Kluyveromyces lactis: one gene and its partners. The protein of the gene in region 1 interacts with the protein of each later gene in a pairwise test. Links are inferred from orthologs where the notes say so. Each region holds a gene or a part of one and is shown in the gene's direction. Other genes may lie near its edges.

What was found.
Region 2: the proteins of IMH1 (region 1) and ARL1 interact in binary tests that used the Saccharomyces cerevisiae proteins (3 or more experiments, as listed by UniProt). The link is inferred for Kluyveromyces lactis from reciprocal best matches to the Saccharomyces cerevisiae genes IMH1 and ARL1.
Region 3: the proteins of IMH1 (region 1) and RUD3 interact in a two-hybrid assay, tested with the Saccharomyces cerevisiae proteins (2 studies listed by BioGRID, with this or other methods). The link is inferred for Kluyveromyces lactis from reciprocal best matches to the Saccharomyces cerevisiae genes IMH1 and RUD3.

Annotation. Positions count from the first base shown.
Region 1 is NC_006039.1:1,500,620-1,509,071, forward strand, and holds IMH1 (Imh1p), read left to right. Parts: upstream 1-3,721; coding exon 3,722-6,028; downstream 6,029-8,452. Other genes in the region: serine/threonine protein kinase ATG1, read left to right, coding at 1-835; KLLA0_C17182g (uncharacterized protein), read right to left, coding at 1,114-3,246; KLLA0_C17226g (uncharacterized protein), read right to left, coding at 6,118-7,086. UniProt on the Saccharomyces cerevisiae protein: Involved in vesicular transport between an endosomal compartment and the Golgi apparatus.
Region 2 is NC_006041.1:2,191,230-2,198,382, forward strand, and holds ARL1 (Arf family GTPase ARL1), read left to right. Parts: upstream 1-3,324; coding exon 3,325-3,876; downstream 3,877-7,153. Other genes in the region: TYR1 (prephenate dehydrogenase (NADP(+))), read left to right, coding at 130-1,467; UBS1 (Ubs1p), read right to left, coding at 1,700-2,431; KLLA0_E24795g (ABC1 kinase family protein), read left to right, coding at 4,746-6,554; KLLA0_E24817g (uncharacterized protein), read left to right, coding at 6,646-6,879. UniProt on the Saccharomyces cerevisiae protein: Recruits golgins such as IMH1 to the Golgi. Can bind and hydrolyze GTP. May be involved in trafficking events within the endosomal system.
Region 3 is NC_006040.1:586,352-594,410, reverse strand, and holds RUD3 (Rud3p), read left to right. Parts: upstream 1-1,881; coding exon 1,882-3,270; downstream 3,271-8,059. Other genes in the region: RFC1 (replication factor C subunit 1), read right to left, coding at 1-1,498; AIM41 (Aim41p), read left to right, coding at 3,633-4,190; KLLA0_D06831g (uncharacterized protein), read left to right, coding at 4,699-4,707, 4,816-5,577; KLLA0_D06809g (uncharacterized protein), read left to right, coding at 6,136-6,702; STE4 (G protein subunit beta), read right to left, coding at 6,812-8,059. UniProt on the Saccharomyces cerevisiae protein: Involved in the structural organization of the cis-Golgi and in vesicle targeting/fusion stages of ER to Golgi transport.

The DNA of each region.
Region 1 (8,452 bases):
TCCTTTCAGCGAACAAATGTTGGATTCCAACATAACTCCTGCAGTGGAATCGCTTGCGGCCAAAGCATTTGTCATGTATTCGTTCGCTGAAATGAAATTCTCTCAAATTCTTCCAACTCCTCCTTCTTCAACCGACTATGACCCACTGTCAGATAAACGTCTAAGTAACGGAAGTTGCGCGATAGAGGATGAAGAAGATTTGGATCAAGGCCGCCCACCTTCTAATCAAACTTTGACCTCAGCAACAACAAAGATTTCATCAGCCACCAATGTTGACACTCAAATACCGGCCCCCGAGTTGAAAAAGTTGTGCACCGAATCTTTACTTCTTTATCTAAAAGCTCTTACTATTTTAGCTGCTTCAATGAAATTAACATCAAAATGGTGGTATGAAAATGAAAGTAAAAACTGCACTTTGAAGCTAAACATTTTGGTGCAGTGGATTAGAGATCGCTTTAACGAATGCTTAGACAAGGCTGAATTTTTGCGTTTAAAGCTCCATGCTATTAATACATCACCAAATTCCCAATGGTCAGATGATGACCCTGTAATTTTTGTTGAAAAGTTAATATACGATCGTGCTTTAGATATATCTAGAAATGCTGCAAGAATGGAAATGGAAAGTGGGAATTACAATACTTGTGAACTAGCCTATGCTACTTCATTATGGATGTTAGAAATTTTGCTGGACGAAAATTTTCAATTCAACGAAGTCTATGATGACGAGTATGCATCAAATATCACCTCCTTAGACGAATCAGATAAGGAAATGATAAAGAAATACATTTCAAGTATTGCTAATAGGTTAAAGGCACTAAAATCCAAAATGGTTTAGGATTGATCATCTTTTGGATTGGGTTTTTTACAATTTACATTTTATATAATGATTATATATATATGGATTAGGGTTTTTTCCATTAAACACTTACTACTTTTTTTTTGAAACGATACCGATATCGTTTAGTAGTAAAATAAGATTATATCTATGAATAGAATGACTTATTATAATAAATTAAATACCAAATTAAAAATTTCCAAACTTCAAATACGAAACAAAACGGGAGATGCAAATATAAAGCGTTTCAACTTTTGACAAAATAACTCAAATGTCGCTCAAAGGACCTCTATAGTACTATTGGAGCCTTGGTTTGTACGTTGTTGTTCTTCCTGAATCCTCCGTTGATTCTCTTCTTCCTTCTTCTTTTGTTCTTTTTCTGCCTTTCTGCGTTTTTCTGCTTCATTTTTAAGCTCATTCTCGAGCGTTTTCATTTTTTCGTCCAATTCCTTCAATTCTTTATCAGTGTTTTTCCGTTTGTCATCGATGAACTTCTTGAACTTCTTTACCCTTTCTGCAAGTAAATCTCCTGTCCTCTTATCTTGCCCTGCCTTAAGAAGTTCTTCCTTTTCTAACCTCGAAACTCTGATATCTGCAAAACCCTTTGCTTGTCTTTCAGGGAACGCCTCGAAATACTCTTCAAATTGAACAAAAAGCTCTTTGTCCGCTCCATTATTGGAAAGAGCTTTTATCGTCTGAGCGAACATAAGTTCATGGAACTCGGAGAAAAGAGTTTCATTGACGATTACTCTTGATGATTCAGATTCCGGAGTCATATTGCTTAATAACGTAAATGAGTCAACATCACTATGGAAGAACCTGTTATCTATATCACAGTTACAATTTAAGACATTGCGTAGTAACAGTTCATTGATATCAGATGTAGAAATTGGACAACTTTGCTTAGTTGATAGATACTTTTCGGGTTTTATCTCGCCAAGTAAAGTATTCTTAAGTTTTGAGTCAAACATGCCAACGTCGCTGACGGCTAAATCATCGAACACCATGAGATCTTTGCGAACTGTCAGCTCCTTTTCAGAATCCCAAGCTGATTTGAAAGTGGCTTCACTATACACTATAGCGAAATATGCTGTCATTATTTCACTTGCAGACCAAGGTTCATTAAATTTCAACCTCATTTCATCCATAAAGCGAACGAAAGAAAGATACTGTTTTGTATTGAAAAATGCAGTTTTACCAACGAGAAACGTTTCCGTATCAATAATTACTCCGTTATAATTGTTGTAATCATCAATGAGATAATGCGATAGTTTGATGTTTTTCTTTTCTTGCAAAGAACGCAGTGTTTCATTGAAAGATTGGGATATCTTTGAGTCAAGATTTTTATCCATGAAGACAATACCAACGTTAGTATTCGAATCACTTGTAAACCTTTCAAAGATATCGTACCTCACATCACCATCGAACACAGTGCCGGGTTCTAATTTTACAAAATAGTCATACTGAGTCACTGCGTCTAAATTGAAAATATCGCTTGATAAAAGGCGAGAGAAACTGATTGAGTATGGATCATACAGTTTTGAATACTTCTTCGTGTGTAATTCCCACTTGTCTAACAAATCGGAGAAATATTTTCCTATATGGAGTTGTTGCAGCTTACTGTAATATTCGAATCTGTGTTCCCTCTTTGCAGTAAATTCATCTAACAAAGACGTGACTGCCTCCGCATCAGAATTACGAGTCAACAACTCTTGATCTGTGAGGGGTTCCTTAATGTGAACAAATTCGATCAATCCAGAAGCAATATTGCGCAACTGCATTATTATTTTCTTCTCGAACAATTCGATATGTGACACAATGACCCATGGATAATGATACTCCTTGTTATAGTGAGATTCCACAGATTCCATGGTTCTTTTTAAAGTCGAGAGCTGATTCAAGTTCCTTACATGGATCAGTATGCATGCATTAATGTTTTTTTCAGTGTTTTGCGAAAGTTCACCAGACTCCCTCGAAGTACTGTTTATTCGTTGCCAAAAATCAACCATGTTTGCCTTGGTATAAGAGTGAGACCCAGCTAAAGAGTCGAATTTCACTTTAAAGTTTTCCAAGGATCCAAATGCTCGTGCGTAGGACTTTTTACCCCACCCAAACCGGTAAGTTCCTGAATTTTTGCTTCTGTAGCTATTATTAACAACACCATTCAGATCAGCCAGTTGGACCATTTCTAATGCTTTCTGCACCTCAGTGGAATCAAAAGCCTCATTCTGGTTCTTCCCTTCAAAATTTATAGGACCAGAACCGTACCTTGAATTATAATAAGCATCACTTATGCCATTGGCAGCATCGCCCGATCTGCTGAAAGTCCAGTGTTCATAGAAAACCAGTACCAAGATACAAGCTAAAATCCCACCCAAGACAGGTCTGGGATGATTTTTCAAGTGTGCCATCTCACACAACAGACACCTAAGACTAGCTTATCGATGAAAATCACCCTCTAGAGAGTGCCTGCCAGTCTTGAACTCGATGATCTGTTAAAAGATTCCCATCACATCTAATTAACTCAGTAAATTTATACTCTATACAGGAAAAGTGCTCTCGAGATATTCGGAATTGAGCACCCCTCCAAAATATTGTTTTTGGGGGCCCGAAAATTTTCTGGTTTGAAATTTCGAAATTTCGAAATTTCCAGCTTTACAACATGTAAGAAATTAGAAATAGGTTAAAATATTCTTTTAGACACGTAAACAGGACAGTTTAAAACGCGGTTTTATGGTATATGCAGGTCACTGAACTGTGAACAACCTCGTGATATATTGTGAGATAGAATTGCGACTGTTTTATTTGGTCTTTTATTGTTGTTGGGAACGCTATTTTTCTTTTTTTTGTTTCGTTTCTCCACACAAGGGTAAAGTAAAATAAAGGATGTTTAAACAGTTGACTCAGATCGGTAAGAACCTTACCGATGAGCTGGCTAAAGGTCTGAACGAGGAACTCAATGGGATTAATCCAGATCAATTGGATAAAACAGGACCGTATGCGGATCTTCCCAGTGATGTTCAAGTGAAGTTGAGAAAGTTCGATAAGTATGAGCAAAAATATCCATTGTTATTACAGGCTTATAAGAACGAGAAATTGAAGACAGAGAAGGTGGAGCAATTTCAAAAGGTTTTAAGTGAGTGCACGCCAGTTTCAGATATTTCTGACGTGGATTCTTTAAAAAGTTACTTCAGTACGGTAAACCAGAAGACTGATATGTTGAATAACGAAGTGAAAAGGTTGACTTTGGAAAATACACAGCTATCTCAAGAGTTAGAGAAGGTAGATACTCATGAGCTAGAGCAAGTAAAGGGTGAATTGGATAAATCAACTACGTCAGTGGAGAATTTGGAGAAAGAAGTAGTTAGCTTAAAGCAGGAAATTTCTACGAAAGATCAACTGATAGATTCTTTCAAAAACAAAATTGAAGAATTAACTTCGACACCTTCTTCAGTAGATAGTAGCAGTGCAACATCAGCCCAAGAGACGACAGAAAATACAGCATCCAGTACTGCGCAGCCAACAGCATCAGGAAAAAAAAAGAACCAGAAGAAAAAAAAGGGGAAGGCTAATAATAACAATAATCTCCAAAACAATAATGCTAATGCCGGTGCTGCCGAGACTGCCGCAGCTGCTCCGGCTACTGAGCCAAATCAAAAGGCTAAAGATATAACAGAAGCAATTACTCTCCGTGTAAAATTAGATACATTGCAAGCAGATTACGATAAGTTGAATAAGGAATATGAATTACTAACGTCCACGAAGGCAGACCTTGCAAAATTGAAAGAAACTATTAAGATCAAGGATGAAGAACTAGAAAGTGTCAGAGATATGTTGAAAGACGTTGGAAACGATCTAGTGGCTGCTCAAGATCAGCTAAAGTCCAAGAACGATGCTTCAGCTGAAGTTAATAATTTGAAACTACAACTCGAATCGTTGAGGTCTAACAATGCGGATAATTTGAAGTCCTATGAGTTGAAGCAGAACGAATTAAACAACGAAATTGCATCGTTGAAGAAAAATGAATCCTCATTGCGCCAAACAGTAGCACAAAAAGAGAAAATTATCGATTACCTTGAAAACCAGGTTAAAGAATATAGCTCCAAAGAATCTGAATATAAGAACGAAATTGAACTGCAAAAGAAGGAGAATTCAGCTTTTGTGAAACGAATTGAGAATCTAAACAAAGAAACCGCGAAATGGAAGAATGAATCTCAGAAGAACAACGGTAACTTAGAAAGTTATATCAAAGAAAATGGAAAATTAAGTGAGAGACTGGAAGTACTGCAGGAAAAACTCGAAACACTACAAAATTTGAAGTCAAATTCTAATGACCAAGTGGAAACTATCAGGAAGCAATGTGAAGAGCTTTCATTCAAATTAAAGGATGCTAATAAAAAAATACTATCTCTAGAAGACGAGTTGAATGAAAACGCTAACATTCTACAAGAGAGAAACAGAGAGACTACTACCATGAGAAAGATGCTAAATGAACTTCAAACCGATAAAAGTAATAGAGTGAAGGAATTAGAAAGCAGACTTCATTTCGCCGTTGAAGAGAAATCAAAGATAGAGAATGAGTTGCAAATGGAACTAACTAGAAAATCCCAAGATCTCAAACAACTCAAACAGAAAAACACGCAACTGCAATCTGTTAACCACGATCAACTAATAAAGATTGAGCAATATTCAGCCGAGATTGAGGAGTTGAAATCCACTTTTGAAAGAATGAAGAGGTCAAACAATGTTAGCCAAGAAGACACGTCTGAACTTGATTCAATCGTTAAATCATTAAAGGAAGCTCTTGTAAAGAGTGAAAAGAAACAAAGGGAGATTATGAACACTAACGTTGAACTCAAAGAACTAAATAATGATTTGAACAAAAAATTTGATAGATTGAGTAAGAACTATAAAAACTTATCGTTACAAATCAGTAAAACTAAGGACTTAGAACCCAAATCTGCAAGAAGTAGCCCACATCCATCAAGGTCAGGTTCTATTGTACAGGACACTATTTCATCACCAATAAGTTCAACACAATCAGAGATTAATGAAAAGATTGCATACATAAAAAACGTGTTACTTGGATTCTTAGAACACAGAGATCAGCGTGATCAGTTATTACCCGTTGTTACGACGTTATTGCAATTGGATAGTAATGATGAAAAAAGGTTATTGCTATCATTGAAATGATAGTTTATATCTAAATATATACTATAGTTTACATATAAAGTTGTAACAATCATAACACAATCTTATTTCTGCTTTCTCTTTTTCCTGGTTCAAATGTCGAACTCCTTAATGTAATTGATTCCGTTGAAACACTCCGCAGCGGTCATCTGGTCATCCCCAATGATGTTATCTATCTTCATTGCAATGTCAACGGTTTTCCTGTTACCATCATGTTCAAGGATCAAACCGGAAGAGGTGCGTTCCCATAATTTGACATCATTCAAAATATCAGATTCGGATCTTAGGAAAGGATTAGAGACGGTCAACCAATCCAAAGTATCATGATCCCAAAGCACCGATTGTAATCCAAACTGTCTTGCAATGGAACGAACCCTGTTGTCGATCCCCCCATAAGGAGGTCTAAACCATTTCGGCAAATGGTTTCCGGTCGCGTTCATGGCCCATATAGACCATTCTAATTGAGCAATAATTTCTTCATTGGTTAAACTTGGTAAGAAAGGATGTGACCAAGTATGTGTACCAATCAAATGGTCCTTTTCCATGATCTTACGGTATATTTCCGGATGATCCACAACGTTCATACCAAGGGTGAAAAAAGTAGTCTTGTGCTTCAAATGATCTAATAGTGTTAAAGTATGATGAGATGGCCCATCATCGAAAGTTTGAGATAGTTTCTCACAAGAATGAACATCATCGGGTTCAACACATTTGTGACAATCAAAAGAGCACGATTCCCTCGGGTTCACGTTACATCTACCCTCTTTGTACGGTTCCCATTTCTCAATCTTGTCGAAATCAATGAAATCCAACGGAATGTAAGGTGGATTGGAACCTGGCCATTCAGTTAAACCTGTGAAGGCAGTTAACCACTCAGGGAATGGAGTTTTCGCCTGAGATCTTGGTGATCTCCCAATCGGGAACCTAAACTCTTGTTCTATAGCCAAACCGTTGTCTTTAGCTACAGATAGTGGATCCTTATTCGAAGTATCAATAACGGCTGCATATGCAGTCGCTATTGAGACAACGGAACATTGTAGTAAAATGAGTGTCGAGACCATCTTGATATACACTTACTTGGTGATAAAGTTAAGTAAATTGTTATGCAGGGTTGTACTGCTGCTATTTAAACATGTAATATTGGAGTAAAAAAAAGGTCGTTAGTGGACGTAAATACCATTTATGCTGGTGATTTAAACACTGTAGATCGATGTATCGGCTAGTAATATTTCGCTGCTGTCATATTATCTTTTGTGACAGTTTCAATACATTTGGAAACTGAACTGACGCGCGACAGTATATTACCCGGATACACGACAGAACCACCAAAAGCATTCGCTGTTACCCGGAAACACAGAATTCAAGCTTTATTTTTTCTGTTTTGAGATTTCAGTTTCTACAGCCTCCCCATTGATCCCTATTTGAAAGTCCATTCATCCTCAAAACAACTTAAGAAAAACGACACTCTGACTCAGAACACTATTCAACGTACTTTGGTCCTGTAACATACTCTCATTGACCAATGAAATCAATTAGAATCATATATACCGCATGGTGTGGCTGAAAAATTGAAAACGGTTCTAGAACCGGGGGGAGTGGAACCAGTTTCCACAGAAACAACGGTGAGTTCTACTGTTGTCCCAGTGAACATTGTTCTATATGTTGACATAGTACAGTAAACGAGAATAAGGCCAACAGATAGGGGAAATAACGTGGGGCTACTTATCGAACTTCCAGCGGCTGTAAAGAGTTTCAAGTCCGGAAAATGGGGGGTGGAACCTGGCTTCCTCTCAGACCAGCCTGTAGCAGCTATGTTAATCGGCCGGTCTCCTTTTTCCTTTATAGGACAAATTGTGTCAAGAAAACATGGCAGGGATTCTTGTTACCCGGATATTGGACGGACGAAGTAGTGAAACACCCAGACCCTACACTAAAAAGTTTCAGGAAGCGCGGATGAATGGGGAAGAAACCGTTTAAACGACACTATGAAAAGCCAAAAAGGACAGAAAGAGAAAAAAAAAAAAGTGGATCAGAGATAATCACGTAACGTAACTACTCATAGTAAAGTGCATAATCCAACAATGGACTAAAGTATCTTCTTTTGCTTTGGATCTCCTGATTTCAAGGTGTTTGCTTCGATACGTCGAAATGCCTTACTAATTATTGGTCTGGACGAAAGATAAAAAAATATTAGTACTATTATTATTATTATTATTATTATTACTCTTATTACCCACTCTACGGCCAATGTCCCTTATCTATTTACAAAATCAGGTTACGGCCAATGGCCCTTGAAACCTGGAAAGAACATGTGGGATCTTTGGTTCAAGGAAAAATATATATAAGGAGCTGGTTCATAGTTGAGTGTCTTGTAACTTATGGATGTCATCTGTTGTTCTTTTATATTGTATATTATATTCACTCCCA
Region 2 (7,153 bases), on another chromosome or scaffold:
CACTTGTTCATTATTATCAGTGTATACCATACCTAGTGTCTCATCAAACATTCTGGACTTCTTTTTGGACCACCTTCTTCGACAAGACTCATTGGGATTCATCTAATACAAGGCGAACACAGATTCAAAATGATAGGTACAGACGAGCAAATTGCTAAGTGGAAACATGAAAAAACCATCGGTATCATTGGATTAGGTGATATGGGACTTCTATATGCTACTAGGTTTTCCAAAGCTGGTTGGCGGGTTATTTGCTGCGATAGACCAGAATTTTACGAAGAATTGAAAGAAAAGTATTCCTCAGAAAGCTTCAATGTTGTTGAGAATGGTACACTAGTGTCAAGAGCTAGTGATTATATCATTTATTCAGTCGAGGCCGAGAATATCGAAAATATTGTGAAGATGTATGGCGCAGCGTCAAAGGTAGGCTCGATTGTCGGAGGACAAACCAGTTGCAAGAATGCGGAAATCAACGCTTTCGAGAAATATTTACCTTCGGACTGTGAGATTGTATCTGTACACTCATTGCATGGTCCCAAGGTCAATACAGAAGGACAGCCGTTAGTCCTAATAAACCATAGAACTAAATCTCAGGAATCATTTGACTTGGTAGAATCTTTGATGTCTTGTTTGAAGAGCCAACATGTTTATTTATCTTACGAGGAACATGATAAAATTACTGCAGATACCCAAGCAGTAACGCACGCAGCATTCTTAAGTATGGGGGTTGCTTGGTATAAGATACGAATCTACCCATGGACGCTTGGAGTCAATAAGTGGCATGGAAGTCTAGAGAATGTCAAAGTGAATATCTCCTTAAGAATCTATTCTAATAAATGGCATGTATATGCGGGGTTAGCCTTAACAAACCCTGCTGCTCATAAACAAATCACACAATACGCTAAAAGTGCTACCGAGCTTTTTACCCTTTTCGTGGAAGGGAAGAAAGATGAACTTACTAAAAGACTTCAAGTCGCCAAAGATTTTGTATTTGGTAACCACAATGGCTTGTTACTATTACACGATCTAGCTCTTGATGATTACTCATTATCAAAACATGAAAAAGGTGAAGATAACGAAGTGATACCAAACTCTCATTTATCTCTATTAGCAATTGTCGATAGTTGGTACCAATTGGGAATTGATCCCTACGATCATATGATCTGCAGTACTCCTTTATTCAGAATTTTCTTGGGGGTTAGCGAATACTTATTCCTAACAGATGGTTTACTAGAACAGACTATCGATGCTGCGATTAACGTACCAGAGTTCAGAGCGGATGATATGGAATTCGTCATAGCTGCAAGGTCGTGGTCTAATATCGTCTCTTTTGGTAACTTCGAACTCTATAAGAGACAATTTGAAGAGGTACAACAATTTTTCACTCCAATGTTTCCAGAAGCAAATGCTATTGGCAACGAAATGATTAAGACTATTCTTGAGCATTCAAAAAGTAAAAATTTATGATATGTTTACGCTTGATAGATTATGTTATATATGTATATATATGATATACAATGATATACATAAGTACTGTGAGAGAAATTTATTGCTAAAACTTCGATACGATCGGAAGATAAATCCTCACATAATGTGCCATAAACTATATAGACGCCATGCATTAAATTAGAAGGATGATGAAAATAGCTTCATTGGATGGAAAGGTGACTAACTTAATAGTTTCAGAGAAAGTTTTATTTTATCGCCTGCGTTTTCTACTTTCTAAAAAGTCACAATCTTCAGAGGTTTCCAAGTTGTTGAGATTCGGTTCTGTGAGTGGACTCACACTCATAAAAGAGCTCAACCCGGTTCTTTGCCTCTTTCCCCTGTATAACTGTTCCGAACAGTCTTCGTTTGTTATGTGGTTATGGGTATCTACCGGGGTTGGGCTTTTACTATGCAATTTCGGGGAGTTTCTTTTTGTATGATTAGGTTGTGACTGAGCCTGCGTTTGCAAATATTCGTTTACCATCTGAACGTCTGTTTGAGTCACCGAGTAAGACTCGAATAGTCGCGGGGAGAAATTCTTGAACTCCTTTACCATAATTCTGTTCCAAGCCATGGCCAATTTTTTATGATAATCGGTGATATTAGTACAGCGACTATAAATTGATGATAACAAATGCTCATAAAAGGAGCACAACCCATAGTTCAGAAGAACAGGAGAGAGATGATTCAAGCAGATAGTCTTATTCACAGGTATGCAGGGATTAGGTGTCAAACAGTTTAATAGTATGATAGGCTCCCATTCGTTCATAGGCTTGTGGCTTATGAAAACAACACAGTAAAGTTCCAAATCTCGGCTTTCGTCATGTAGTACTATATTCCAGAACTGCAAATTTGATTCTTGTGGCTTGATATGGCATGTAGAGTGCTTATAATGGCTCAAACGTTTCCATTCCCTAAGGAGTTTCCTGTACAACGGATGCATCTTATGTGGATGTGGCCTGCTATTTGAAAGAAAAAAAAGTAGTGAAGAATAACAATTATAGGCAATGGAAAAGCCTTTCCAATAATGATATATTACCACACTTAGTTGGCAATATAGTAGTTAAGATATCCAATAATAATCACGTTACCCTTAGCTTTGCATGCAAAGGTATGCAGTCTTACTGTTTTGTATTTTTACAAATCAGATTAATATATTCTATTATTATTTTTCTCTGATTATCATTTTTGATCTACAAATTCTTCATATATTGTAGAATATGTTTATACAGATAGAAGAAGAAAGAAAATTCAGAGCATTAATCAGTACCGGTATGCCTCATGTGAGCTCTCTGCAGTTACAAACTCGCATATATAAAAAATTGAGATTGAACAAAAAAATACAGCGAGGACAATGTGAACGATACAGACTATATACGCAAGTAATTTTTACTATGTCTAATGGGGTCTCTTTGTTTGTTGTTACCCGGCCACTAAAAGGCCAACTACAATTTTAGTGAAAGGAAAATCTCAGGATCGAGTGATTAATAACACACTGCATTGGTTAGGAGTTATGATTTCATTGTATTTAATATTTCACTCATTACAAAGACATTATCTGATCTTATAGTACGAATACAATAAAATTGTTTACACATCAGGAGACAAACTTACCGCTGTCTGGATCGCTGTTTATTCGTTTATTTGTTTCGAATTTTGGCTGTAACTGGTTCTCAAATAAGAAATATTTTGAACAAGTACTTCCTAATTTTACATATCAACTAGTACAAAAGTTTTGGTTTTAAATTATTAATTGACTTATTAATACACCTTTTCTTTAATTACCAACTACCTTTGAATTGACCGCAGTACAGCAATTACTTATAAAATATCACAATGGGTAACTTCTTTAGTTCTATGTTTGATAGACTATTGGGTGCGGAAAAAGAATTACGTATATTGATATTAGGGCTTGATGGTGCTGGTAAGACGACGATATTGTACAGACTACAGATAGGAGAAGTGATAACTACAAAACCTACCATTGGTTTCAATGTAGAGACGTTAAATTATAAAAACTTGAAACTTAACGTGTGGGATCTAGGTGGACAAACTTCGATTAGACCATACTGGCGTTGTTATTACGCAAACACAGCAGCAGTTATCTTCGTTGTTGACTCTACAGATAAGGACCGTATGAATATAGCTTCGAAGGAATTGCACCTCATGTTGCAAGAAGAAGAATTGCAGGACTCCGCTCTGCTCGTATTTGCCAATAAACAAGATCAACCAGGCGCATTAAGTGCGTCAGAAGTATCAAAGGAGTTGAACTTGGCAGAATTGAAGGATAGAAGCTGGAGTATTGTTGCATCCAGTGCCATTAAGGGCGAAGGGATAACTGAAGGTTTGGATTGGTTAATTGACGTGATTAAGGAAGAACAAATGTAATTGTAGAAGGAATTGAAAACTGCATGTTTTTTAGTGCTTCCGGTCCCATTATATTTATCTACAACTGAAATGCTTTTTTAATTTGACATGACCTAAGATAGTAATAAAAATAAATGACAAAGCTAATAACAAAGTTAAAATTCGAATTGTTTACTTCCTGCCGATGCTGGCGTAATGTCCTATTGAATTCCTTTACACGCTTATTTCAATAGACATTCAATTTTCCCATGCATTTTTATTTCATCTCCAAAATCCTCCACTATTTCGTTTACGTTTGCGTATGCGTGATATAATGTTTTCTCCTATTCAAACCATTCCATCGTGCCCTAGTTTCATTATATATATAGCATATTCATAATTCGCATAATTAAGCAGTCATTATACCATGCAACCACGAATCCTTTAAATGGAACATGGTCTTGCCAACTACCACCATATCATTCAGTATATGATGTATTACTTCGCTCAACGTAAAAAGGTAAATCTCTTTGTTATATATTACAGGTGTACATTACCCCCTCGACGAATATCATATACTGGAAACAAATACCAAAAGCGGTACCTCTTTTTGATTATTATTTGCTATAGTAATAACTACAGGCATATAGCAAAAAAAAAAGTAACCGTTATAAAGATCGTGAATTGAAAAAAAAGTGTGTGTTATTAAAACGATGACAACTTATAAAAAGGTCAAGGGAGGCAAATAACTCAGGCCTGTTTATCATTCATGTTATAAGTATATGAATTGGTACACTTAGGTTTGAGGTTTTGTCAATTGGTCTTTTCAGTATAAACTCCGATTTGTCATTTTCAGATTATCTTTAATTTTGAGACTGTCCAGTTCATAGGTGGGTGTAAAACTTAGTCCAATGAGGTTTTACTTTAATGCGTTCCGCTCTAGAGTGAACTCCAGGGTGTTTTTCCTCAAAGGTTTAAGAATTACACCGTTTCTTCTGTCGCCTATAGTCCCACTTTCGATGCAATGGTTTAGAGGACCGTTATTGAACAATTCAACGGCGCTAATACCCGATAAAAAAGGGGATACTTTCGAGATGGGCTTATACATTTCTTCACAGAAGCAATTACAGGAAGAAGCCGAAAAAGAGCGTGAAAGAATTATAACTACTAGTGTTATGCCCAGTTTTTTTAAGAGGATTTTGTATCGCATCAATGATGTTATTATAGAACCGGTTTTAACATTGCTTCGATTTCTAGAACTTTCATCCATATTCATTCCGTTGTTAATAATATATCCAATTACATGCCTTGGACATCATAAAACGCTAAAGGTTGATTCGAATAGAGTTGTGAAGGAGACATCAGGTTCCCTTTTGTGGTTTAAACTTCTAAGAAAGGCTTTAGAATTCGCTGGTCCTACATTCATAAAATTAGGTCAATGGGCAGGATCCCGTACTGATATTTTCTCCGAGGGTTTATGCGCAGAGTTGGGGCGCCTACACAGCAATGCTAAACCTCATGCGTTGAAATTTACAAAAGAAGCCATTGTTAATTCCTTAGATAGGAAATATGAGTTCGATGATATATTTGATGAATTTAACGAAAAACCTGTTGGATGTGGTGCCATCGCCCAGGTCTACATAGGAAAGTTAACTGAATTAATGATGAAGAACTTTGATATTAAAACGGATAGTAGGTATTTTGCAGTGAAAGTGGTTCATCCAAACGTACCGAAAAAGATAGACCGTGATTTAAAAATAATGACTTTCTTCGCCGATATGATCGACTCTGTACCCACCATGGAATGGTTGTCCTTACCAAATGAAGTGGAGCAGTTTTCCATATTGATGAAGTTGCAACTTGACCTACGTATAGAATGTCAGAACTTGCAGAAGTTCAATGATAATTTTGCTGACAATCCAAGAGTAAAGTTCCCAGTCGGCGCTATGGATTTATCTTCTCGTTATGTACTTTTTGAAGAGTATATTCACGGATTCCCAATGGAGAAATTTTTATCGAGTAAAGATGGTTTAAAGAGAGTCGACCTTTGTAGAAAAGTCAGCGATCCATTTATCGAGGCTTTTTTGAAAATGTTGATTCTGGATGATTTCATTCATGCAGATTTGCATCCGGGGAATGTCATGATTCGTTTCATGAAATTGAATAAACAAGAAACAAAGGTAGTATCTTCTGAAAAAGAAATGTTTCAAATTGTGCACAAGTTAAGAGCAATGTCAAGAGACAACGACCCTGAATTCATTCCGGAGATGAAGAGAGTATTTGAGGAATATGAGCCTCAGGTATGCTTAATTGATGCAGGACTTGTTACCGAGTTGAACGATCGCAATAGAGTGAATTTTATTGCACTATTTAATGCGTTGGCCAAATTTGACGGTTATCGAGCAGGTGAGCTAATGATCGAACGTTCACGTACACCAGAAACTGCGATAGACAAAGATTTATTTGCATTGAAAGTGGAAAAATTAGTCAATAAAGTTAAGAAGCAAACATTCACTTTGGGCACTGTGTCAATAGGAGAACTTTTGGATAAAATGCTAGGAATGGTAAGACAGCATCACGTAAGAATGGAAGGTGATTTCGTATCTGTCATTGTTGCTATTCTATTGTTAGAAGGAATAGGTAGACAGCTTGATCCTGAAATGGATCTCTTTGCAAGGTTCGTATTATTTGTCTTAATGAATGGATTTTCATCCACTTGAAGCTCTTGGTCTCAATTTACTAACACCAAAATTTTACCCATATACCGGAAAAATATTGTTCATATTTTCATTGCTATGTAGACTATGAGCGATGCGTTTTTTCCCGGTGCTCGTGTATTTATTCAGCTCACTACCATTTTTACGTAAGTTCGGAATGAGCAGAGCTCATGATTTAGCCGGCGGTGATTCCAGCATGCTACAGGATATGAGTTCGCTATCGATGTTAAAGATATGGCTAGGGTTAGAAATTCGTCAATTGATGAGCATCTCTTCAAAACAGATATACGAACTAGTAAAAACGGATCAATTGTGTCCAAATTACTAAGAAAAAATGGTAATAAATGGAGAATATTCCAATTCTCTTAATGCATAACGAGGATAAACTTCCAAACAATAACAGTTTTGTTGTATAAAAGAAATAATTTACCTGACAACTCTGATAAACCTACCATAAGTTGATTAGTTCAAGAAAAAATATAGCTAACGACCCCTAAAATAGTCACCAATAACAGCGGTGAAAAATAAATATACCAGGGATTAATTAAAAAGAGCCCTAGCTGAAGCCCATCATGACATATTTCAAGATTACTTTTCATAAT
Region 3 (8,059 bases), on another chromosome or scaffold:
GTCTCATATCACCGCGAGTAACTGAAACAAGTCTATCAATAACGTTAGGATCGAGTTTAAATTTTTCTCGCATCGCAATTGTCATAAGACGGGCCTTAACAGCTTGTGCATCTGGTCGTCTGAAAGGTATATCCAAGACGGAATGATCAAATGGCCTCATTTTGGGCAAGTTACGCTCATTGCAGATCAAAATCATAGGGGTGTTGGTTTTCCTGCAATACTGCGCAAGCTGTCCCACACCACCTCTATCACCTCCACTCATACCATCAACTTCATCCATGATAATTACAAAACGTTTCCCATTTTTAGAGTAATGGTCATCTGATATGCTTTTGAACATCCCAATGACTGATTTATGATCCAACGCAAATTTGACACTGGCATTCAACAGACCCTTGGAACGAACGTCAGATGCATTTTTCTCTAAAACATCATATCCCAAAGATTTCGCCACTAAATGAGCGGCTGTCGTCTTGCCAATACCTGGTGGACCTGATAACATCACTGCTCTCATACTAGGCTTTTTCCCAGAACTCCAGCTCTCTAACCAAGTTTTCAATTTTTGGATGGCTCCTTTATTACCACAAAGTTGTCTTAAATCAGTAGGCGCATATTTCGTGGTCCATAACTTACTGTCTTCAGTAACAGTACTTTTACTTGAAAGATTGACATCTTTTCCCACCGATAGTTTATCCTTCTTTTCACGTTCCTCTTGTTCCTTCGCCATTTGTTCAGCTTCTTTCATCGCTTGTTCTTGTTGTTCTTGTAACTTCCTTCTAGCTTTGTCTGCTTGTTGGTTATCACCACCACCTGCAGGCATACCTGCAATTAGTCTCTTGAACCCTTCTTCATCAATGGCCTTTATACCCAACTTCTTGATGTTCTCGAGCTTTTTAGGTCCTGCTTCTTCCCCTAACACAACAACGGATGTGTTCTTGGAAATAGATTTGGTGACACGAGCACCATATCTCTTTGCTAGATTTTCTGAGGTAGATCTGTCAAGATTAGGCAAAGTACCTGTGAATACAATGGTTAGCCCGAGCAAACAGTTTGCTTGACCCTCTGGGATCTCCAATTCACTGGATGCACCAGAACCATCACCTCCTGCACCTTTCCATGAAAACTGCGTGGCTTCTTTCGTCGTAACATTATCAAGATCAACAGAAGGTATAGAGTCTAAAAGCTCTTTTACAGTTTGCGGAGAATCGCTTTTTTTAACCCTACTAACGTCTGGTTTAGTCAATCCGTTCGATGAAGGTTCACTTATCCTTGGTTTCTTTGCAGGTGACTGCTCTTTCTCATCGGCTGCGGTAGTATTGCTCCGGCTTCTTCTCGGTTGTGACGCCAGCAATTCTAGTTCGTCGTCATCCAAATCCAAGTCAATCGTTTCAGCAGCCTGGCTCTTGACCTTCTTGGGCTTCTTGGGTGAAGCATGATTTGTTCCGTGCCCTGCCCTCTTATTTTTTGCAGCTCTCAATTTATCCGTTATGTCTCCCATCTCGGACACCACTTCAATTGTACTATTACACTAGAATCAGATAACACTGAAAACCCTCTAACACATCTATATCCGACACTCACGCTTTGTCAGTTTCTGTTTTATCAGCGATGTTCTCGTTATTACTGGTATTTTTCCTGGTTTTCTATGATTTTAACATTTAAATTGTTGGTTTAAAGATTGAAGAAAAACGAACGATGTTGACGTATATAGACTATCGAAAGAAATGAATTGGCTTTCTACAACTTGTTCATCTGCACAACGTATAAATCTAGAGTACCGAAGTGACCTTGGCATATAACCCATAGATCAAGGATAGTTGTTCCTGTCAAAATTAGGGGCTCCCAAACAGCAATTGGCATCTGACCGCATTAAGAAAAAAAATGGCCAAGAACAAGAAGAAGGGCAACAACAGTAACAATAAATCAAAGTCTGCTGGTTCAGCAAAAGATGTCAAGGCTACAGAGCCAGTCCAAGAAGTGGTTCCTGAAAATGATGGCGCTAAAGCTGTCGCGGTACCGGATGATTCTCTAGAAAACTCTGATGGTGCTGACCAGTCAACTGTGGAAGCGGTTGTTACTGTGAAAACAGATGACAAGCCATCGAAACCTGAACCAGAGGAACAGCAATCACACGAAGCCACAACAAACTCTAATGCAGAGGCAGAACCGCACAGTGATTCTGAGGAGAACGATCTACAGCGTGTTAAAGAGGAAAGAGATCAGTACGAATTGAAGTATAACACTCTTTTGAGTAAAATCTCATCTATGAAGACCGTGTTCAGTCAAATGAAGCAAGCTCAACAGGAACTGGAAAACACTCGTGAGCAGTTGAATGAGTATGAGAATCAGAATATAAATTTAAAACAGAAGCTAAAATCTGCTGATTCAGAAATCCAAGAGGACAAGCAAACCATTTCTATTTTGAATGATGAAATCGTCAATCTCAATAAAGAATGTGAAAATTTGAGTAATGAATGTTCAGAATTCAAGTCCAAAATCAAAGAATTGGAATCTAAGTTGAACGAGGCATCTAACGAGGAGTCTAACATTACTTCTTGTCTTAAATCTGAAGTCAAAAGCTTAAAATCTCAGATCGATAATTTAGAAATTATCATCAACAATGAGGCACAAGATAAAAGAGATTTAGAAGAGCAGATAGCTGACTACAAACAGCAATTAGAACAAAGTGATGAAACTAAGAAACAGCTTGATAATATAATGTCAAATTTAGAAAAGCAAATAAATGATAACAACACTACTATTGAGACTCTAACCAAACAACGGACAACAGAAGTCAACCAATTCACCGAGGAAATAGCACAATTAACGAAAAATAATGAAGAAAAAGCTACCGAAATCAATAGTTTGAGGGCAAAAGTAGCGTCCATGAGTGAAGATGTAGCATTAAAGGAGAAATTTGAACGAGAGGTGAAAGAAAGAGTTCTACAGATAGGAAAACTACGCCACGAGGCTATCATATTAAATGAACATCTAACAAAAGCATTAGCGATGCTAAAGCAAAACAATGATTCTGAAAGTGTCGACAAAGAGTTGATATCTAACCTTTTCATCTCATTTGTTACTATCCCAAGAGGTGATCCAAAGAAATTTGAAGTCTTGGAATTAATTTCAAGTTTCCTTAACTGGGACACCGATAAAAAGACTCAAGCTGGTCTCATTCAGAATATGAGCAATACAAACTCCGAATCGCGAACCCAGAATTTCGTTTCTCTCTGGACTGAATTCCTAGAAAAGGAAAGCGAGAAGTGATTGCGCTTTGGCTGTCATCCTGCAGAAACTTTCTAAAAGTGATTTGTACTATAAACGTTCTAACACATAAATATATAGACTAAGTTAGTTCAATTATTCACTAATCCAGTCAAATATCATAAGCCGTCTGGAACAAACTTAAAGAAAAGCGCGACTTGCACTGAATATTTTTTTTTACTTAACCGATCAACGGTAATAAAATTGCATCTTGATGATAATTTCTATGAAAATTCAAGTAACCCAAAAGACACCGGCACCTATGAACAAATACAAAGAAACGTTACATTTAATAGACCTTCTATAATCTTGATCGTTTGGTTCAATCTTCAAGACAAGCATCCAAATCATTAGCGAATACAAAGATGTTAAGATGTGTTATCCCAAGCGTTCGCGCTACTGCAACGACCAGAACCTTTGTTAGATTTGCCAGTTCTCAAGGCTACATTGATGGGATCGCTGCATTAAAACAAGACTTGAAGAAGGCAATGCTTGCAAAAGACAACCTAAGAAAGACAACCATTAGAGGTGTACTATCTACAATTAAGAACAAGGAAATTGACAGTAAGGATAAGGATCTAGATGAATTTGTATTGTATGATGTGTACGCCAAGTTAATCTCGCAAAGGAAGGACTCCATCGCTGAATTTGTTAAAAATAAGAGAGAAGATTTGGTAGAGAAAGAAGCCAATGAGATAAAGATCCTCGAGAATTATCAGACTGCCTTGCCTGTTGCTTCTAGGGAGGAAGTAGACGCTCGTGTTGTGCAGATTTTAACAGATCTAAAAGAATCAGAGCCATCTATACAATTGAAGCAGGTCTTCGGAAAAATTGACTGGAAAACACTACCAGGCGAATTGAAGGCATCTCCAGCTGCTATCAGGTCCAGTATTAGCTCTCAATTTAAGAAAGTGTTCCAATAAATCACCTAGCTAAAACCAAACTTGTACAGAGTCATTCATTAAAAAAAAAACTCCGATGAATGACGCCCTTGTGATTAAGTAGGCACATCAATCCCGTAAATAAATGTACTTACAATTATGCAATATCAAGCCGCAGCAATGGATTTGACTCACGTGAACAATTCTCTATCTAAAGACTTCTGATAAAGCCATGTTGTTCGCTAGGATGCTTTGCCAGATCACGTGATAAAACATAGTAACCAATACTCTCTGGTAACTACTAAGTGGGGAGAATATGGACATGATAGTCTTTTGCTCTCTCCACAATAGCATAATCGTAACTCTTGCATGCATCTTCAACTGCCTTCCTCCACCTTATTGTAGTACTTCCTCTAAATTTCACCAAACATTGAAAACATGAATTGACTAAATTTCAAATTCAGAGATAAATAATGGCAATTACAAGTACGAAAATATCCAGAAGAGAAACATTAGACGTGCTTATAACCCCCAATCAAATCAACCAACGATGGTGTCGGTATGTAATGATTAAAAAAGACTGAAAAGCTTCTTCAGTTCGTTTTTAGAAGGTTTCTTTTCACAATGAGTTTACTAACAGACCTTTTATTCAATATTTCGGAAACAGACTGTGAAGAGAACGGTCAGAATTAAGACCAAGCAATCTGTCCTACCGGATGTACCACCTCCAGTAGAAAACTTTCCTATGCGTCAATGGACCATTGAATTAGTTCTTTTGGATGAACAAGGAAACGAAATTCCAGCCACGATATTTGATAAGGTAGTGTATCATTTGCATCCAACTTTTGCAAACCCTCATAGAACATTCACGGAACCTCCTTTTAGAATTGAAGAACAAGGCTGGGGTGGCTTTGAATTGTTGATAAGTGCGCATCTTCTTGAGAAAGGGGGCGAGAAGAAGATAACTCACGACCTACATTTCATGAAAGATGCCTATGAAATTGATCATGTAATCCAAGTTCCTACCAATAAGCCTCTTCTAAGAGCAGAACTAGAGAAAAGTGGACCTGTCGATGAAGTAGCATCAACAGCAGCAGCAACTCCAAATGCAACAGCGACAGCTGCCACCACTCCAGGTGACAAGAGAAAAGCATCTACTGTCAATGGTGATGTAAAAACGAAAAAAGCCAAGACCGCCTCCGCTTCAACAGTGAAAGGCTCTGTGAACTTGGAAAAGTTAGCATTTGGCTTAACAAAACTAAACGAGGATACATTGGTTGGAGTAGTACAAATGATAACTGATAACAAAACTCCAGAAATGAATATTACGAACAATATCGAAGAAGGTGAGTTCGTTATTGATTTATATAGCTTGCCTGAAAGTCTATTGAAGAGTTTATGGGAATACGTCAAGAAAAACACCGAGTAACCGGACCTCTCACATGTTTATCTAATTTAACCATTACAATTATGTAGTTGTATTTTATAACTTACATCTCCACTAACAGGCACTGCTTGCAGAAAAAGTACCAAATGAACACTATAATGAATAGACAAATCAAGCCTAGGGAAAATTGCACTGAAATATTTGATTGAATTCGCCCTTGGACTTGACTTTAATTATTGTCGACCTCCTACCGATGAGCTTATCTCTGAAAAAAATAATAGTTTGAATCAAATTCTACATGATAGCATATCACAATACTCCATTATGTTTTACTATTGTTGTAGCACAACGGTCCGCAAGCCGTCGATAGAAAACTGTATTGGCATCAAGTCAACACTTAACATAATGGAAAAAGATTTTGTAATGGTATGTTTTAATCTAATATTGCCATAACGTTTGTCACTAGCAGCATTGTCACTAACAAGTGGTTGTTTACAAACATATCAGCCTTACGTTCCTCGAACAATAAGAGTCAAAACTCAACAAATTATTTTACCAGATGCTCCTAAAGTCTACGAACTGCCGACAAGGAAATGGAGAATGCAATTATTTATATTAGATGAAGAAGGAAACGAGCAACCGGCCACCTTATTTGATTATGTTACCTATCACCTTCATCCCACATTTGAACGACCACTACGAAAACTCACGGAACCTCCCTTCACCCTAGATGAGCAAGGTTGGGGTGAGTTTGAGCTAAAGATAATAGCAAAGGTCAAATTTTGCTCGACAACTTACACTTTTCATCACGAACTATCCTTCGATAATAATGCGTACAATGTTGATTATGAGGGAAGGTTTCCCTACCATCAAACCAAACTGCGGGAAGAGTTATTAAATTCTGGCAGTGTACCAATTTACAATGAAGATGAAATAAGTTTGGGTCAAGTTACAAACTTACAAAGGGCTATTAATCTTATATCGGTATCTGATGTTGATACTATTCAAAAGGTAATTAATACAATTGTTACATTTCCTCCGGTATCTGAAGAAATTGCTAAGAGACGTCATCAAGAGGATGACATTGTAATATTATTGTCTCAAATTCCGAACCAGCTGCTCAATAAAATTTGCAGGTTGGTGGAGGCTTCCTCAGCTGCATCTTAAAGTTTCACTTACTGCGATGAACAAGAGCCAAACTGAGCGGTTTCAGTAGTATTATAAGGGCTATTTTGCGGCTTTTTTCGATATGCATTACCATTCTCAGTTCATCATTTCACTGATGAACCGGTGTCCAAACTTTTAGGGTCATATCCCATGAGCTAGACACTACTGCCATTCCATCAGGGCTCGTCTTGACGGCATTTATTCTGTTTCGATGACCATCAACTTTGCCAATCATTTCTCCTTTGATAATATCCCATACTGCACACCCGTAATCCGCATAACAAGCGTACATCAATCTACCAGAAGAGCTGAAATCTATTGATATGACTCCTTGATCTTCGATACAACTTTCCTTGAAATTCAAAGATTGAGGTGTTTTTACAATTGGATAAGACGAAGTTGAAGAAGAGGATGAGCCATACCGATTTTTTTGAATACGAGAATAAGCATGAGAATGAGGATGAGGATGATGTTGTTGTTGAAGCTGGTGCTGCTGAAGTAAACCGTCTGAAAATGAGTACGTCGATATCTGACAATCACTTCTTAAGTCAAATAACCTAGCGCTACCATCATCTGAACCCGCCATGAAGGATTCTCCATTGTTGAAAAATTTGATGGCACTAACATCACTATCACTGATGAAAAAACTTTGGGCTGAATTCGGCTGTCTAACATCCCATAGATACGCATACCCGTCCGATCCTCCGGTGATGAAATTATGACCATATCGACCAGTGTTTGCTGGTGGTAAATCCATGGTCAAGACATCGCCTAAGTGATCTATAAATTCCGTAACTCTTTTACTTTTAGGAATATCCCACATAGCGCATGTCATATCACCACTTGCAGTCAAAATAGTCCTCTCATCAAGAAACTCCGTAGCTGAAATGTAGCAGGTATGGCCCTTGAAGATGGAAATCACATTCTGTTGTATTCTATTATCTCTTGAAACACGATACACTGAACAATGATTGTCCAAACCCGCACTTGCAACCAGATTTCCGCTGGGACTGATAGCGCTACTCAAGACCCATTGGGATAACAAGGGGATAGCGCTTTTTTTAAGCCCAGTGAAGGGATCCCATATGATTATAAACCCGTCTTGGCTCGAGCTGAGTACGCTTGCCGAATCCTGGCTCCATTTTACGTCTGAGATTTTATTATTATGTCCTTTCAAAGTTCGAACCGGTTGTAAGTTTAACTCGTGTAATGAATTGACGCCGTGAGACAAGTTCATCAATTGAGTGTCTTGAATTTTGCCTTTAATTCTGTTGATTTGGTCGTATAACTGCTTGCACTCCGTCTTTGCTGTCCTTATTTTGTCCTCCACTGTACCAGCTGAATTCATATTGGGATA